Drosophila melanogaster: one gene and its partner. The gene in region 2 interacts genetically with the main gene of each other region. Each region holds a gene or a part of one and is shown on either strand. Other genes may lie near its edges.

What was found.
Region 1: of Pka-C1 (region 2) and Su(fu), changing one enhances a phenotype caused by changing the other (phenotypic enhancement), as found in Drosophila melanogaster (2 studies listed by BioGRID).

The regions. Positions count from the first base shown.
Region 1 is NT_033777.3:12,689,066-12,693,507, forward strand, and holds Su(fu) (suppressor of fused), read right to left. Parts: upstream 2,404-4,442; 5' UTR 2,374-2,403; coding exon 967-2,373; 3' UTR 808-966; downstream 1-807. Other genes in the region: Arp1 (Actin-related protein 1), read left to right, coding at 2,757-2,804, 3,578-3,642, 3,705-3,879, 3,939-4,090, 4,150-4,442; CG31347 (uncharacterized protein), read right to left, coding at 3,054-3,485.
Region 2 is NT_033779.5:9,694,422-9,701,310, reverse strand, and holds the start of Pka-C1 (protein kinase, cAMP-dependent, catalytic subunit 1), read left to right. Parts: upstream 1-2,013; 5' UTR 2,014-2,196; exon of another isoform or gene 2,197-2,609; intron 2,610-2,879; 5' UTR 2,880-3,744; coding exon 3,745-4,806; 3' UTR 4,807-5,120; intron 5,121-6,889. Other genes in the region: pelo (pelota), read right to left, coding at 1-158, 218-258; hoip (hoi-polloi), read right to left, coding at 931-1,311, 1,374-1,376. UniProt on the Drosophila melanogaster protein: Serine/threonine-protein kinase involved in memory formation. Promotes long-term memory by phosphorylating meng and by regulating CrebB protein stability and activity.

The DNA.
Region 1 (4,442 bases), on a different chromosome or scaffold from region 2:
ACGCCATGCACGTGCTCGCTCGACACCCAGCTCAATCCCAAGGGGGGTCACTGCCTAAACCGAAGGTCATCCACCGGTCGATGGGTTGGCCCTTATGTAATCGCCGGCGTTTGGACGAACTTCAAGTCCGCTCCTCTACGTACTTGTAAGCCGGAACTCCAGTCGCTGCAGGCAGACGTGCGATTCACTTGAAGACTCTGGGAATCAGATGAAGCCGACTCGAGAATCGCGGGAATCAGTGGTCGGGTGGAGACCTCTCGAGCGAGCACACAACCGAACGCTTGCGTCGTCGGCGGCGGAATGAAGAAAACTGAATTATTTTCCACGAGCTGTTTTTGCGAAAAATCGCTCGCTCACTTGATGAGGGGCGCCTAATCGGAGAAGCAGAGCAACTGTTCTCTGCGGTAAACAAAAATTCACCTAGGCAACGCTCAGACAAGCGATGCGTCAAGGGTTTCCCATCAGCCAGGCTGATGATGCAGCTGCTCCAGGTCCAGTTCCTCGCGCAATCACATGATCCCGGGCGGGATTTTGTGTTCAAATTGAATGCTCTTCTAATTGATCAATTCCCAGAATTAGAAACTGAAGCATTCGGCGGTCCACTGCGCAATACCATCAATTGGTGGTTAGTCGGTGGCGATGACTTCCACCGCCTGCAAGTGGCCATATCCGCCGCAGCCACCAAAGCGAACTGTTCCAGTGCTCAATAGCCTGACCCCAACTTGACTCATCCGGCGAATTGTTCGCCGCTCCTGGCGCCGGCGCTTCCTCTTTTCATATTGCGATCAAAGGCCCGTCGAGTGGTTTCGGGTATATGTATGTGTTTGTATATTTTGACTGGACTCCGGCGAGGAGCAAAGGCCACGTGCATTGTGTTAGATGAGATGTATAAATGTAAAACTTACTCGTTAGTGGAAGATTCAATTCGATTAATTTAAATAACTACTAGCTAACCAATGGACACCATCACATTTTCAGAGGAGCAGCGTCGAGCGACATGGGCAGCACAGGTTCCGGCTGGTCGATGATCAGCTTCAGATTCTTGTCGGGCCACTCGAGCTCCAGTCGCTCCTTGGGCTCGCATTTCTCGTCTAGGCCCGCGCTGCGGAAGTCTTCCATCAGGCGCGGCACCAGTTCATCGGGAATCAGGACCTGAATCCAGTAGCCCAGCACGCCGTACGGTTCGTTCACTGTCACCGCCGAGCCGGTGACGGATTCCGCCACCAAAGTGAGCGCCAGATGCTGAGCCTTGAAGGTGAAGTGGCGCCCATGTCGGATGCGATCCTTGATGGCCAGTAGGAGGTACTTGGCCACACCAGGTGCGAGGGTAATCTCAATACCGTCCAGTGAAATGCAGTTTGGTGCCTGCGCTTGAAAGTCCAGGGGACAGGACTTGTGCAGCGAATTGCTGCTCATCGACATGGATTGTGGAAAGCTTGGTTCCTCGCGTTTCATTTGCGTATCCGTCAGCTGCCGATTGTTTTCGTCGTTGGCGCACTTCTCGCTCAGCGCCTGGAAATCCACCTCCTCCTTCACCTCCTTGGTAGGTTTCAGCTCACGGAACGTAAAATCTGCATTAACGCCGGCCAGATCGGAACCCTGCTTCTCCAGATCGTCCTGTAGGTTTAGCAGCGTTTCGGGAAACAGTTCGAAGACGCTCATCTGGCGATCCATGTTAGTCACCAGCCAATCACCGCCAGTTTGCATATCTTGGCGAAGGAAGTTGAGCACACCGCGCCCGTTCCAACGCGATGCCTGCTCAAGTTCGTCGTCAAAGACGCCGACGATCTGGCAGAAGTCCACCGTGCCCGTGGGAGTGTCGATGCAGCCCAACTGCGGGTCCTGGGCGACGAGCAGGTTCTGTAGCTTGGAAGTGGTACTGCCATCCAGACTCTTGCGCCACGGGATGTTGTCTCCGAAGCACAACCCGTTGCCTGTTTGAAAACAATAGCGTCCGATGGCCTGCAACAGGTTCGCCGGCCAGGTGGGCGGTCTTTGGGGCTTTTCCGGGTTCTCAATCTGCTGCTTTAGCTCTATTTCTGTTTTGGCCAAGCGAAAGGTCAACTCGAACCCCATGCCAGACCGAGTGACGCCCTCCTCGCGCAAGTGGACTCGCTCGTCCCCGTGTAGGTCGCTGAGTCCGAAACTAATGTAGTGCCAGTGCGGCGGAACGTTCCTATCCACATCTCCGGGATAGTTGTACATGCTAATGTAGTCCAACGGATCCTGACCGCCCAGCCAGTACTTGAGCAGTGTGGTCACCTGCAGCGGGTTCGGCTGGTTGGGGTACACCTGCCCGAGGTGGTCTATGATGGCCTTAAGGCCCGGCGGAGGCTTCACCTCAGGTTTTTTGTCCAAATTCGCCTCGGCCATTTCATCCAGTTTGATCAGTATGACCTCAGTTGGAACGTTGCGGAATACCACCGCTTGAATATACCATGAATAAAAATACTGCCATGTAAAGTGCGGATTTGACAATGGAAACTTACATGAGTTTCTTTTAAAACCATTATTTATTTTTAAAACCTTTTTTATAATAATTATTACTTTCTTACTTTTTTCTGCTTATTTTTAAAATGTAGAGAAAAACAGTGAAAATATATATCCATATAGCTTTAAACCACCACCATGTAAAATATTGAGTATTTCTTGCCGTGGTATATTTTTACATGCTGTTTATTTCTGCCAACCACCTACGGTCACCCTGTTGACCAACTATTTAATAGAAAATTTGCAAATTTTGATAAACGCACAAAATGGAGCCTTATGATGTCGTCGTCAACCAGCCCGTCGTCATAGATAACGTAAGTGGAGATGGGGCTCATTAAATGCGGGTAGCTTTGTGCAAATCTAGGGTTCCCAAAGTTTTAGCCAGCAAACAGTGACATCACCTACCGCCCGTCCCTTTGTCAACGAGCTTTCAAGCCGTCTTCAAATGGCCAACATGACTAATCCCAGAGAGAATAGCTCCGCAAACGCCAGAGATGGTTCAATTCGGAAGTGAAGACAGCGAAAACGGGGAATTTGGTCTATAAAGCTTGCGTGGAATCCCTTTATCTGCCCAGCACACGCACACACGGATATCTGCGGGCGGTGGCTGCATCCCTGCTGTTGCGTCCCTGCATCTGGAAGCCTCTGTCGAAGTCCATTTGGTGCCCGTACTCCATTGGGTAAACCACGGGAATAGACTCCACATGGGAGGCAGCGGGTCGCTTTAAGCGCTCCAGTTCGGGATCTATCTTCACACCACACTTGCCCCTGTATGTGCTGAACATCTTGGGGCGCAGCAGCTTGTTGTAGGGATCGCGGAATTGATCTCGGTACTTCTGGCACTCCAAATAGAAGGAGTCCACCTTGTACAAGCTGCCGTAGCTGATGTTGGTCAGTCCAACTGGCGGTGCGAACTTTAGTAGCGATTCCCGTTCGTATTGCGAATTCTTTGACACGGTCATCATGTCCACTTCCGGCACACTAAAGGATTCCATGTTGACTATATAGATTTCCTGTTTGCACGTTGAATTTTAAATAAAATAAGCTGACGCAACTAACTAAATGTATTCCACATCACTTTTGACAGGGCTCCGGTGTGATCAAAGCCGGCTTTGCTGGTGAGCACATTCCAAAATGCAGGTTTCCCAATTAGTAAGTGCCGTGGACCACTCACGAACCTTAAGAACCCCTAGAACTAATGCCTTCTCCTGCAGCATTGGCCGGCCCAAGCATGTCCGAGTGATGGCTGGTGCGCTGGAGGGCGACATATTCGTTGGACCCAAGGCGGAGGAGCACCGTGGCCTGCTTAGCATCCGGTACCCCATGGAGCACGGCATTGTCACCGACTGGAATGACATGGAGCGGATATGGAGCTACATTTACAGCAAAGTAATTTGTCCATAAATGTTCCATAATCTTAACTAAATGTTTTAAATGGCATTGACCAGGAACAACTGGCCACCTTCACGGAGGATCATCCCGTGCTGCTGACCGAGGCCCCGCTTAATCCGCGCCGAAACCGCGAAAAGGCAGCCGAGTTCTTCTTTGAAGGCATCAATGCACCTGCGCTCTTTGTGTCCATGCAGGCGGTGCTCAGTCTGTAAGCATTGCAATCTCACGAACTGCCCCTATCGATTTCATTTAACCACACTCTTGCAGCTACGCCACCGGTCGTGTGACTGGCGTAGTGCTCGACTCCGGCGACGGTGTGACGCATGCGGTTCCTATCTACGAGGGATTCGCCATGCCTCACAGTATTATGCGCGTGGACATCGCCGGGCGCGATGTGACGCGCTACCTGAAGACACTCATCCGCCGGGAGGGCTTTAACTTCCGGTCGACTGCCGAATTTGAGATTGTGCGCTCCATCAAGGAGAAGGTCTGCTATCTGGCCACCAATCCGCAGAAGGAGGAGACCGTGGAAACCGAGAAGTTTGCCTACAAGCTGCCCG
Region 2 (6,889 bases):
TGGTTAGTGTGGTGCGCACCCGGCTGCTGGTGGAGGAGCCAGTAGCCGTTTCATTCTGCACCTTGCGAATAGTGGTGCTGCGCACGCTGTCGCCTTTCGCAATCAAATTGTAGGCGTGCCACATATCCTCGGACTCCTCCGGCACCAGGGTCACATTTCTAAAAGAATTTTCGAGGCATAACGAAAATAGTTTAAGACTCTGGGGATATTCACTCACCCCTGCATGCCCTTGTCCACGTATTTGCCCAGCAGCTTCATCCCGTCTCGTTGCTGGTCAGGATTTGGTATTTGTTTCGTCGGCAGGCACTGCCTTTATACCGAGTGCTTTGATTCCTCTAGCCGCTTGTCACTTGCACCCAGATTCCAGTAATTCCCTCCGTTCACAAAGGCGGCGGTGCATCGTTGTCATTGGGTTCACGCAGTTGCTAAGTTCACACCGCTGATCGAATCGGCAGGATGGTGTGGCAATGGTGGTGGTCAGTAGAATCGGCGGCCAAGTGACATTCACCAGGGGCGAACGGTGATGTGCGACTGGCTATTTTGCCGCCAGGATTGGCTTTCTTAAAGTAGTTTGCATAAGCTACCATTCAGATTTTTTTCTATTTCTATGAATAAATAACTTATAGTTATAAATAAATATTCTACATGCACATGTACATTTTGGTCTGGTTCAATAATTTATATGAAATAAGCTTATATTAAACTAGCTTATTTATTTGCCAGCACTTTGCCGGCTATACCAGCTGACCCCTTTGGTTTAGTATTTTCTGGTATTTTTCGGCATTGGTATCCGGTGTCCAAAAATTGGGCACTCCAAGCCAACCATGTGCGTTGGAAACAACAATTGCATTAAAGAATACACATGTTTATTCAAAATTTCAATTTGAAATTACCACTTTGTACGAATGTTCACTTAAATCTAAAGGGTTACTAGACTAGCAGTCGCTCGATCTCCTGCTGAATGGAGGTGATCTGCGACTTGAGCTGGCTGCCCTCGTTGGTGGTCACAGAGCAGGCGACTATTGGCCGGGAAACTCCGCACGCACGCCCCAAGGCCTGCTTGGAACGAACGAAGACGTAGGGCACGTTCTTGTCCTCGCACAGGAGCGGCAAATGGAGCAGAATCTCGATGGGCTCCGCATCACCGGCCAGCACCACAATATCGGCCAGTCCGCGATTGAGGGTCTTGGTGGCCTCGTTGGCTCCCTTGCGCAGTTGATTGTAGTTCAATGCTTGCTGCAGCAAGTTCATGATCTTGGCGGTAAGCTGGGCATCGGCCAGCGGGAATGCCTTGGGATTAACTTCCTCAGTCTGCAAAGATTGGGATACTTGTTGAAATTTACATCTCTCGATGCTAACGTGGATGCACTCACCATATTGGCTTGTTTATTGTATACTTTTACTGGAAAAAAGTGCTTTAAAATGCAACCTCTCCGCTTGCTGCTTCACTGAGGGCAATTGCAGAACAATTGAAATCGCTTTCAAACACGTGCGTTAGCGTTAGAAAACCGTTCGCAGGTGGTTCGGAAATACCAAATAAGACTGGTCATACTGCCATCTAGGCAATACTAATCGTAACGGAAATTGTGTTCTCTGCAGCCCTAGCTTAAATATACTTTTGATAATTTAAGGGAATTCCCAAATAGAATTTCATAAAATAAAAAAGGAAATCCATTTAAAAATATTTCGTAAAATCGAATCTAAACTTACTTCATAATACAACGTTTCATTAAACAAGTGCTCTATTTTTATTAAAAATTATATCTTTCATGCAGCTTAGAACTCTTTAAACATAACAATAAAATAATCCTTACAGCTTACGAATTATATATTATTATAATTATTTATTAAAATTTTGGATAACCGCTAGCTATTTCCGATCATTTAGATTTTCAGACGGAATAGAACCCGCGCAGTAGGGATTACTCATGATTGCGCCGCACGGTTCACGCTGAGCGAGCTGCCTATCGCTGGCCTACTCACACCTGCGTGCTGGGGCGCATCCGCGAGTCGCGTCAGTCGAAAAAAAAACTTTGAACGATTTGGTCGGGAAAACTCGGTTCGGCGGCTATGCGGGTATTTTTAATCTAAGCCATCAATCCACAGCTACAGTGCATCAAATCGATCGGAAAGTCGAGGCAATATTTCTGAAAGTGTTTACAAATCGCTGGCATCGTAGTCGTAAATTTCAAAAAGGTAATTTCGCGCAGCGAAAATGGAAAAGCAAAGTCAAACAAACTCAGAAAAAGGAAATGAATGTAAAAAATCGATTATTCAATCTGTGTATGTGTATGTTGGTGTGTGTGTGTTAGGTGAGCGCTGAGTGTGTATGCGTGTACGATAGTGTTTGTTTAAACCACGGGATTTTTTTATGCCCAAATCGAATGGCGAAAATTTAGCACACCGAGCAATAAAGGCCAATTTAACTAATTTAAAGTGTGCGAAATGTGGAAAAGTGCCTGCGAAGAGAGCGCTGAAGAGAGATCGCAGAAGTAAAACCAGAAGCGCATACATATGCACATCAACTCGCACACATACACACACGCACACCAGTGAACGCAAAGAAGCAAAAGCAAAGGAAATGAAAAAACAGAAGCCAAAGCAAAACGGTGCCAAAAAAGTATTTAATAATTAAAATAGGCGAAAATGAGAGGGAATGCGCGAGGAAAAGGAAGCAGCACTGCGTAACAGTGCGTGAGTGGGAGTGAGCTGGCACTACGGCATCAGCTGTTTGACACTTGACACGATCGAAAGTCGCCTCCTCTCGCTCTCTTTGCCATTCCTCTGTTCTCTTCTTTTTATTATTTTCTGAATTTCGAGTTTGTGTGCGATTTTGTTAAGCTTATTTATTCAGTGATTATAACCAGCTTTTTATTAAGCTCCATAAAAGTGCCAGCAAAGCGCTGAGAACAAAAACAATATGAAGTGAAAAATGCGAAAGAGCGAAAATACATAAGAAACTTAAAATATAATCTATATGTGTGCATAAAGAACTCGGAAAACTGGACTCTTATTTTTAGCCCCTTACCGAATATCCCGCTAATTTGTGCCGTTTTCTCTCCCGTCTCTCTTTGCAGCTTCTCAAATTAGAGTAAATCGCGATCATAAGCAACCTTAAAGTGTGAAACCAAATGTTAGTCTAAGCCTAAAGTGTATAACTAGTTTAAGACCTCACAAATTAAAGAAACCAATACGTGCTAAAACCATAACTTAAACGCGTCTTAACCAAGCGCCTTTAAAACGCAACCTAAACACCAATTTAAAAGGATATTCAGCGAATAAGAGAGTGAGAGAGCTCCAGTGAGAAGCTCTCTTTGGCCCATAAGGAGCAACTATTTCATCCGCACCGTTGACCCGTAACTCGGCAAAATAGCTAAGTCCATTTTGCAGTTCCTCAAAAAGAAAAAGTCCCATCATAGTTCCACATCCGGCGAGGGCAAGCTACAGGCGCAGTCCAGTTGCGAGGAGGAGGGCGGAGCGGCAGCGGGAGGAGCGGGAGCGGCAGCGGGACCTCCAGCGGACCAGGCTAGCAGCAGCAGCAGCGGCCCCTCGTCAGCAGCCGCCGCCCACAAGAGCACGCCCCCTGCCGCCACGACCACGCCCGGTTCAGGGGCGGATTCAGGAGGAGCCAGCGGAGGAACAGGAGGAGGGGGAGGAGGACCTAGCACCTCCGGCGACGATCAGGCCCAAGTGTCGGCCAGCGCAACCTTCCGTTTGTCATCGCTAACGGGCACCATCTCCAAGATGGGCAACAACGCCACCACGTCGAATAAGAAGGTCGATGCCGCCGAGACGGTGAAGGAGTTCCTCGAGCAGGCCAAGGAGGAGTTCGAGGACAAGTGGCGACGCAATCCGACCAACACCGCCGCCCTCGATGACTTCGAACGGATCAAGACCCTGGGCACCGGCTCCTTTGGCCGTGTCATGATCGTCCAGCACAAGCCCACGAAAGACTATTATGCCATGAAGATCCTCGACAAGCAGAAGGTGGTCAAGCTGAAGCAGGTGGAGCACACGCTGAACGAGAAGCGAATCCTGCAGGCCATTCAGTTCCCCTTCCTCGTCTCGCTGCGCTACCACTTCAAGGACAACTCCAACCTTTACATGGTGCTGGAGTATGTTCCCGGTGGCGAGATGTTCTCCCACCTGCGCAAGGTGGGCCGCTTCTCGGAGCCGCACTCGCGCTTCTACGCGGCGCAAATCGTGCTGGCCTTCGAGTACCTGCACTACTTGGACCTCATCTACCGTGATCTGAAGCCGGAGAATCTGCTGATTGACTCGCAGGGCTACCTCAAGGTGACGGACTTCGGTTTTGCCAAGCGGGTCAAGGGACGCACCTGGACACTGTGCGGCACGCCCGAATACCTGGCCCCGGAGATCATTCTGTCCAAGGGCTATAACAAGGCCGTGGACTGGTGGGCGTTGGGCGTACTCGTCTACGAAATGGCCGCCGGCTATCCGCCGTTCTTTGCGGATCAGCCGATTCAGATCTACGAGAAGATCGTCTCCGGCAAGGTGCGCTTCCCATCGCACTTTGGCTCCGATCTGAAGGACCTACTGCGCAACCTGCTGCAGGTGGATCTGACCAAGCGCTACGGCAATCTGAAGGCGGGCGTCAATGATATTAAGAACCAGAAGTGGTTCGCCTCCACCGACTGGATTGCGATCTTCCAAAAGAAAATCGAGGCGCCGTTCATTCCGCGGTGTAAGGGTCCCGGCGACACGAGCAATTTCGATGACTACGAGGAGGAGGCGCTGCGGATCTCCAGCACCGAGAAGTGTGCCAAGGAGTTTGCTGAATTCTAGAGGAGCTCTTCGCCAGTCAGCCCAATCCCCTCGTTCTGCAGGCGCCTGCAACTGCAATTGTATCCGCTACTGCGATTGTATCTGCAACTGCTCCTGCTGTTGCCACCGCCGTGGCATCGCGGACCACGTCCTCATCGTCGTTGTCGTCGTCTTGTCTATATGTCTACTACTTACAACTACAACAACTGTAACAGCCCCTCCCACAACACAAAAACTACAGCCACATCTTCGTCTGAATATCTATCCGTATATACTCCACATCCATACTATTGCCAACATTGGATTTCTCACCACACACAACAATTTACATCAGCGTAAGTATATAATAATTGAATTTAAAAATGTTGAGGGTTTTGAAAAATATATTGTGAGTTAGAACCCTTTGAACAGCGAAATTTAGTCAAGCCTAGAAAACTCAGTTGGTTTACTCAGCAAAGAAAAACAAATACAATTTCACATTCCGAACCGTAGGTCTAGGTTTCAAAATTTGTTTACTTCATAATTCATTCACTTTATTTATTACTAATAACAACATTCTTATTCACGCCTAATCATACTGATAACACGACTTGAGATTTTTAGTAAATAACCACAATATAAACATTAGGCTATTACTATATACTTTATTTTATTTAGAAAGTGCATATTATAATTGTTCTACTGCCTACCTTTAGAATGGTTTATGAAGAGGAATTACTATTGACTTACAGAGATATACGGGAAAAGGCGAGTTCCTAATTTATTATGCCATATATCAATCTGCAAATGCACACAGAAGGCTATTTCTATTTCTCACCATATTTGCTGTACGGGATATTAATCTATTGACTGTATTCCCTACTTTCTTTGGTAACGATTCACTGGCGAAAGCGAAGGGTATTCAGGGCAAGGGTATTGCAGGTTTGTTTTTGTTTTGACTTTAGCTGGAGATTGATGGACTTGAGTGGCTTGATTGATTGATTGCTTTCAGCGGAATGTTTTTGCTTGTTTTAGGGAGAGCAAGTGAGTGAGTGCCAGAAAGTTGATTATGAGACAAAAGGCATTTCAGCTCGTCCGTCAATTGTTCTGCCCGGGACAGTACACGGAATTCTTTTAATTAGTTTCCGTCGGTGACTTGGCTTATTGCGATACGCGGATGGTTACCCTGCGGCACCCAAAACCTACGTGATGTTTTCTCAAAAAGATATTCGAGCATGACCACTTACTCACTTATTTGCAGCCAGACCCCCGGGGCAGTTATACCCGTAAACATCGAATCATTAATTGCAATAAGCGTCAGAATGCGGTCGTAAACGTTAACTGTAGCAGCCGGGCATAGTTCAGACGGGTCTAATCTCCACAACAGACAAACTAGACAGCTGATAGTAACAATGCAAGCCAATTACGTTCAAAGGAATTCTCGGTGCTTAAAGTAAATTTACACAAAAGTTGGTGGTGGGTTGTAAATCATGAAACTTTCTAGCTATAATTATTTGAATTCAACTGGAATGTATTCAGTTACACTTTAGCAGAAGTAAAGTAAAAAGCCATTTAACTTATATTTCGAATCATTCTGTGATACATCTTCTTTAATTAAATACCAAAATGCTTTTCCATTTTAATTTCCTGGGACTCCCACAATTTCCACACAGAAATATAGTCATTCACACTTGACCCATTTGAAAGGCCAACAAAAAGGGGAGAGAAAGCCATGAATAATGTCAAAGCAAAAGGCAGTAAAAGAAGTATATCTTTTATTTTATGAATTATTTCTCGTTTCTTTGCGGAGCTACAAAGAGCTAGCAGCTAGATTGCGTGCCCGTTGGCCATTACCGAAATTGTGTTTCTTTTATCAAAGCCAAACGCTGCTGGTAATTAATAAATTATAATAAGTTTTATGTCCAAACATCATGAGCAAAACAAAAGCAAGAGCTGCGTGCGAATGCCGCATAAAGTTTAGAAATTGTGGGGAAATGCGAAAAACTAAAAACAGAAACGCAATCAAGAGTTGTTAATTCTGGGAGAAAAGCTTGACTGCAGATCAAAGGGGAAAAATCCGAAATATTCACGCCAATGTTCATGCGGTAATCGTTGGCCGTGACCT